Macaca fascicularis: one gene and its partner. The protein of the gene in region 2 interacts with the protein of the main gene of each other region in a pairwise test. Links are inferred from orthologs where the notes say so. Each region holds a gene or a part of one and is shown on either strand. Other genes may lie near its edges. The genes, in order: ZC3H15 and DRG1.

Region 1 (3,754 bases), on a different chromosome or scaffold from region 2:
TACAAAATTCTGGCCTCTGGGTTGAAAGAAAAAAATCGTACTCTATATATAAAAATGTGATGGCAGAGGAAGAAGGTTCATATACCACCTTGCTATTCTTTTTAAAAGAAACTTAGGAAAAATAATTTTGACAATAGATCTTTTGTTTTTGTTTTTTATAGAGACGAGGTCTGGCTTTGTTGCCCAGGCTGGTCTCAAACTCCTAAGCCCAGGTGATCCTCCAGCTTGACCTCCCAAAGTGTTGGGATTACGGTTGTGAGCATCCACACCTGGCCAGTAATTGGTCTTTTTTTTTCACTTGGATCAGTGATAATTTTGGCTAATTAAGATAAATGTCAGGAGTAAAAGAAAACTGTTCTTATTTGTAACAACTTTCTTTTCTATATGTTGTTAAAGGTTGATGATTCAGTGAGTGTAAATGACATAGATTTAAGCCTGTACATCCCAAGAGATGTAGATGAAACAGGTATTACTGTAGCCAGTCTTGAAAGATTCAGCACATATACTTCAGATAAAGATGGTAAGTATGCTAACTTTTGCCTAATTTTAAGAACTAGGAAATTATCTATAGGGGGTTATACCAGACTTGGCAAACTTAGATGTGTGCAGGTACCAGACTGGTAACATAAATGTGTGGTTTGACCATATATAAAAAGAGTAATAAATAGTAAAAGGCCAGACATGAGCAGCTGGGTATATATTAAAATCATTAATGGAAACTAGAAGGAGACATAAATGAGCTTGGAGTTAAAGTCAGTAAGTTCACTTTGAGACCTCATGAGTTTGAGATTTTTTGATTATCAAAAGTGTACTGTCTGGGATATTGTATAGACATGAACACCCTGCAAAACATCAGTGTTTTGGGGTAGGTAAAAGAAGAAATACTAAGGAAAGACATTGAGAAGGTCAGAGAAAAATTAAGAAACAAGTTTCCAAAGAAGCAAGTAGGATGAAAAAGAATATAAATAAGTTATAGTTGTAATTGGTTATAGGAATAAGGTGCCAGTTTCATTGAGACTGCAGTGATAACAGTGAGAAGAAAAATGAATGCAGTCCTCTCTATCTTAATGTGTAGAGGGAAGACATGGTCATGGAAGGGCTTTTTAGGATATGGAAAACCTAAATGTATCTGTAGGTCAGAGGGAGAGGATCTGGTAAGGAGGAAAAGTTGCTAATAAAAGATCAGTTATAGAAGTAAGACATGAAAGTATAAATAATGAGTTAGGTATGAGAATGGAGGGAAGGCTATCTAGGATTGTTGGTATAATTTATGTCTAATTGTGCCTTGAGTTAGGTACTTAAAGAAAGGGGTAAAAGTTTGGGAGAAAATGGCAGAAGAAATGCCCATTAAGGCAAAAGCCGAGACAGACAGAAAAGTCTGAACTTTATTTTTACAATAAAAGCACACAAACTATAACTTGAAAAACCAGCTTGCCCTCCCAAGATCTGAGAGTGTTAGCAAACCACTGTCTTGCCTGTATTCAGATTGACTTGCTCTTTGTAGAAGTAGGGGCTTTGGTGACAGTAGACACAACTGTAAATAATTCAGAGATTATAAAATTCCCAAGACTTTGTCTTCAGAGATGTTTGAAATAGCTAAAATCTAAATTAGGCTGTTAAAAAATGTCTGTGTAAATGTTGATGGCATTGAATAAGAAAAGGCAGCATTTTTTTCCTCTCAGTTATTTATAATCTATAAGGAAAAGTAGCTGTGTATAGCACTATGTTTTTTCTTAACAATTTGATTACATGATGAAGATTTTCTGGTGTCACAATCACAGCATTACAACAGCGTGATTTAAATACTATTGCAAAACCAAAAGCCAAGTAACTGCTTATATTACAAACACTTTTTTTGTTTCTATAACCATTTATTCAAATAAAATATTGTATGGAAATTAACTATTTAAAATCGAATTGCTAGGTTATGTCGGGAACACAGAGGTGTAGAAGATTGACCCTGTCTTTAAATGTATAAACCATTAAGTAGTCAAATGTCTACAGTGAAAAACAGTATTTTATACTAGGTATAGATAATTGGCACAAATAAGCTCAGAAAAGAATGATCAGTTCTTGCTGGAGTAATTCTAGGGAAATGGCTTTCATGGAGAAAAGGAAAAGAGGAAGTGTAGTATGAGTCTGTGTTGTCTATTGCTAATGTAGAATGTTGTTTTCTGCTTCTATGCCTTACTGATTCCAGTTTTTATTTTTAGAAAACAAATTAAGTGAAGCTTCTGGAGGTAGGGCTGAAAATGGTGAAAGAAGTGACTTGGAAGAGGACAACGAAAGGGAGGGACCGGAAAATGGAGCCATTGATGCTGTTCCTGTTGATGAAAATCTTTTCACTGGAGAGGATTTGGATGAACTAGAAGAAGAATTAAATACACTTGATTTAGAAGAATGACATCAAACACGTCACTGAAAAAATTAAGTCAGCTCAGCATGAGTTGAAATTGACTACATTAATTTCTTTCCACCTAGAATCAACAGGATGTTTATTTCCTATGCTGATTCTGAAGGAGTTAACCTCCTGCGAAAAAGGAATATTGTCCCTACATCTTCTCTTCTGACTTTGGCTACATCTCATAGTAAGTTCAGAGTAGTTCATGATAAATTGAAAATATAATGGTCATTGCAGAAAATGATTGATTGTTGTAACTGTCCACCCAAGTAAGAAGTGTATCTGCTTTTCCATCTTTGGTTTTCATTTGGGCATGTGCTATTACCAGAAACAACAAACTTACATTTAAAATACCCTTCATTTGACACAGTTTTTAATGAGTGATTTCATTTCCTTTGTATTTGTATGTTTAGAAGACTGCCTAAAACATCAACACTGTACTTCATAAAGGAAACTGCATATGCAGATTCAGTATTGTATATCTTTGGACAATTAGATGGACATTTAAAATGGAACTTCTTATATCTGACAGGATCAGCTACAATGCCCTGTGTTAAATTGTTTAAAAGTTTTCCCTTTTCTTTTTTGCCAATAAAATTGTAAATAAAGACCATCATACATTAAAATCCAAATATGGGCCTTTTCTTAAGTTTTTCTATGAAAAATTTAACATTTCTAGCTTGAGGATTTAAAATACCTGTTAATAGTATCACATAAGGCATTGTTTCTTAATATTTACTACAGAAGCATCTAGAGTACTTGACAGTACTACGATGAGTTTAATAACACAAATACTAAGCTTCCAAAAAGACTATAGGTGATGTTACATGAAAGAGTAACTTCGGAATTGATACAACATCAACCTAATTAAATATCACCTGCAGTTGAATCAAGTACTGCTTAAGAATCGTTGTTGAGATCCATGGTGTTAAAATAGTACATACTAATGTAAGTATAAACAAATTCACCAGAAAACTTTGGGCTGAGGGTCTTTGGCACTAAGATCCCCTGAAAAATTAGGGTGATAATACATTTAAAATAGACACAATTTGCTCATGACATATTTAATACTGGCTACACCTTTTTTATTGTTGTGTATTTTCAAATAATATGCTGCTTTTGTTATTTGCGAATATAAATGGATTTTAAGACAACTAAGATAACAGCACTAAAATGTCAGGTGAGCTGGGCCCTAATCTCATTTCTGCCTTAGATAAATTATATGATTTTTAAATCTCTGAATCTTTGTTTCTTTATTTGCATATTAAAGTTAAGACTCAATGATCTGGCCAGGCATAGTGGCTCACTCCTGTAATCCCAGCACTTTGGGAGGCTAAGGCAGGTGGATCACTT
Region 2 (3,823 bases):
CTGGTAACTTATAGAAAAAAGGAGGGACCACATGCCCATGATACTTACTATTTAAATTCTTTGATAAGATTTTTGTGAATCTTCATGCAGAAATCCTCCACTGTGGTCCTGGAGTAAGGAAGTACCACTGGGGATGTGTAATCTGGTAATTGGCCTTTGGGTTTGGTGTAACTAGAATAGAGAGGGCATAAAGATTACCACCTTCTTAGAATATCTCATGTGTTGAATGTATAGCAACCCTCCATCACCCCTGACATAAGACCAGGACAACCTCCAACCTGAGGGAAAAAGTGTCCTCAATATGACCTAGTAGATAATAGGAACCAATTTACTTATATTTTCAAAAAGAGCCAGATTTTGTTAATGAGCTCCAGAAAGTCATCTTAGGACGGTCTGGTTTAATTCGTACAGCAACATTACCCTATCCACAAAGACTTACATTCTCACTAGTTTCAGATAGTCCCAGATCTTTTCCAATAGGTCATCAAAATTCCAGCGGTGATGGGCAGAGATGGGTACACAGTGAGGCACCTTATAGATGATATCCAATTCCTCAATGGAGATTTGGTCAATCTTATTTAACACATAGATACAGGGGATATAAACTCTACAGAAGTTGAAGAAAAACAGGTATTAGTCTGGAGTTGTTGACCAAACTGTCAGACTGTTGAACAGCACACCCTCACCCAGACCCAACTGGCGCTCTCAAGAGGAATCATAAGTAGCAGATCAGCCAGAAAAAGAAAAAAGAAAAAGTGAACTATGGGTTGAAAAGTAACAAAAGTCAGGCCCTAGTACCAGACATAAAGATAATTGCTGGGAAAACATACTGCAGTGGAAAGAACACAAGCTTTGAAGTGCTCAGACTGATTCTAATCCCAGCTGGCCCTCCATATATGCAGGTTTTGCATCCTTGAATTCAACCAACTGCAGATCAAAACCCACAGGCACGGAGGATCAGCTGTACTATATCATTTTATATAAGGGCCTTGAGCATCTGCAGGTTTCATTATCTGCAAGGGGTCCTGGAAGCAATCCTCTGTGGATATGAAGAGGTGATGTTATGTGTCCCTAGGAAAGTCACTTAACCTCTGAGTCAGTTTCCTACATGGCTGTTTTAAAACATAATTTATATTTAAAGACTAAAAAATGTTTTATTTATTGGTACAATAAATAATATTTATTGGTAAAAATGATATCACATCTACCAATGTCATATTTCTAGTGTCCAATGAATATGACAGCTAAGGTTACTAATAATTAGGCAAGCCACAACTTCTCACAGTTTAACTGCCTCACTTGTAAAATGCCTAACTGAAAACACTGGCTTCTGTTTGTTTTCAAACGAGGAGTAAATACGTTCATCCAACATACAGGAACAAATGACTAGGAGAACTAAAAATATTATATGCAAATGCTACAAGGAATTTTAACAGTGACTTAACTTATTCAAGTCTCAATAATATTAATGGGCTGGGCATAGTGTCTTATGCCTATAATCCCAACACGTTGGGAGGCCAAGGCAGGCAGATTGCTTGAGCCCAGGAGTTCAAGACCAGTCTTGGCAAGGTGAGGAAACAACATCTCTATAAAAAATACAAAAATTAGCTTGGCTTGGTGGTACACGGCCATAGTCCCAGCTACTCAGGAGTTTGAGGTGGGAGGATGGATTGAGCCCGGAGTTCAAGGCTGTGGTGAGCCGTGATCACACCACTGCACTACAGCCTGGGCGACAAGAGCGTGACCCTGTCTCAAAAAAAAAAAAAAAAGTAATGTATCATGAAATAGATACTCAGCTACATACTCTTAGGATGGAGAAAACAAACACAGCCTGGCCGGCTCAGACTTCTGTAGGACACAGCCTATAGAACTTCTCAGGTGGATTAATTCTGGAAGAGCAGACTCACCTACTACTCTCTTCAACTATCACATGACAAAGATTAGGGGGCAGCTTAGTTTACAGCAAGTAACTGAAATGGAGAATTTCATAGGAGGAGGCTGTAAAAGAAAAAAACTGAAATGGGGAATATGACCATCACAATTAAATTTAAAAGCAAGGAAGGATGTCAGAAATCAAAACGAATCCCTCAGTTTAGAGCTAAAGAAACCAAAGCCAGCAGGCATGGTGGCTCATGCCTGTAATTCCAGCACTTTGGGAGGCAGAGGCAGGCAGACTGCCTGAGGTTAGAGACCAGCCTGGCTAACATGGAGAAACCCCATCTCTACTAAAAATACAAAAATTAGCCAGGTGTGGTGGCGGACGCCTGTAGTCCCAGCTACTCGGGAGGATGAGGCAGTGGAAGTGCTTGAACCCTGGCGGCAGAGGTTGCAGTGAGCCAAGATCATGCCACTGCACTCCAGCCTGGGCGACCGAGCAAGACTCCAAAAAAAAAAAAACACAAAACCAGGGGGCGGGGGCCAGGCACAGCGGCTCATACTTGTAATCCCAGCACTTTGGGAAACTGAGGCAGGTAGATCACCTGAGGTCAGGAGTTCAAGAACAGCCTGGCCAACATGGTGAAACCCCATCTCTACTGAAAATACAAAAGATTAGCCAGACGTGGTGGCAGGCACCTGTAATCCGAGCTACTCAGGAGGCTGAGGCAAAAGAATCGCTTGAACCCAGGAGGTGGAGGTTGCAGTGAGCCAAGATCATGCCACTATACTCCAACCTGGGTAACAGAGTGAGACACTTGTCTCACAAAAAAAAAAAAAAAAAAACAAAGTCCACTATCATTTAAGATAGTAGCACAGGCTGGACGCAGTGGCTCATGTCTGTAATCCTAACATTTTGGTAGGCCAAGGCAGGCGGATCACTTGAGGTGAGGAGTTCAAGACCAGTCTGGCCAACATAATGAAACCCCATCTCTACTACAAATACAAAATTAGCTGTGCATGGTGGTGCACACCTGTAATCCCCGCTACTCGGGAGGCTGAGGCAGGAGAATCGCTTGAACCTGGGAGGTGGAGGTTACAATGAGCTGAGATCACACCATTGCACTCCAGCCTGGGTGACAGAGTGAGACTCCATCTCAAAAAAACAAACAAAAAAAAGGCCGGGCACAGTGGCTCACACCTGTAATTCCAGCACTTTGGGAGACCAAGGTGGGGTGGATCACCTGAGGTTGGGAGTTCAATACCAGCCTGACCAACATAGAGAAACCCCATCTCTACTAAAAACACAAAATTAGCCAGGCATGGTGGCACATGCCTGTAATCCCAGCTACTCAGAAAGGCTGAGGGAGGAGAATCGCTTGAATCCGGGAAGCAGAGGTTGCAGTGAGCTGAGATTGAGCCATTGCACTCCAGCCTGGGTAACAAGAGCAAAACTCCACCTCAAAAAAAAAAAAAGAAAGAAAGAAACCAAAGCCCACTATCATTTAAGATAGTAGCACAGGCTGAACACAGTGGCTCACGCCTATAATCCCAACATTTTGGGAGGCCGAGGCAGGCGGATCACTTGAGGTCAGGAGTTCAAGACCAGCCTGGCCAACATGATGAAACCCCACCTCTACTAAAAATACAAAAATTAGCTGGGCATGGTGGTACACACCTGTAATCCCAGCTACTCGGGAGGCTAAGGCAGGAGAATCTCTTGAATCTGGGAGGTGAAGGTTGCAGTGAGCTGAGATCATGCTGCTGCATTCCAGCCTGGGCAACAGAGTGAGACTCCATCTCAAAAAAAAAAAAAAAAATAGTAGGACAACTGGAATTAAGATAAACTTCTGCCAAATTCAAGATCCAATACTGTTTCCATCACAAGGCTTCCAATCCAGTCAGGCACAGACTGCACACTCAGTCAGTACCTGTTTCCTTCCACCAC

The links.
Region 1: the proteins of DRG1 (region 2) and ZC3H15 interact in binary tests that used the Homo sapiens proteins (3 or more experiments, as listed by UniProt). The two-hybrid records come from large-scale screens. The link is inferred for Macaca fascicularis from reciprocal best matches to the Homo sapiens genes DRG1 and ZC3H15.

The regions. Positions count from the first base shown.
Region 1 is NC_088386.1:82,082,913-82,086,666, forward strand, and holds the end of ZC3H15 (zinc finger CCCH domain-containing protein 15), read left to right. Parts: intron 1-396; coding exon 397-520; intron 521-2,213; coding exon 2,214-2,404; 3' UTR 2,405-3,033; downstream 3,034-3,754. UniProt on the Homo sapiens protein: Protects DRG1 from proteolytic degradation. Stimulates DRG1 GTPase activity likely by increasing the affinity for the potassium ions.
Region 2 is NC_088384.1:20,204,902-20,208,724, forward strand, and holds part of DRG1 (developmentally-regulated GTP-binding protein 1), read right to left. Parts: coding exon 3,807-3,823; intron 608-3,806; coding exon 440-607; intron 172-439; coding exon 49-171; intron 1-48. UniProt on the Homo sapiens protein: Catalyzes the conversion of GTP to GDP through hydrolysis of the gamma-phosphate bond in GTP. Appears to have an intrinsic GTPase activity that is stimulated by ZC3H15/DFRP1 binding likely by increasing the affinity for the potassium ions.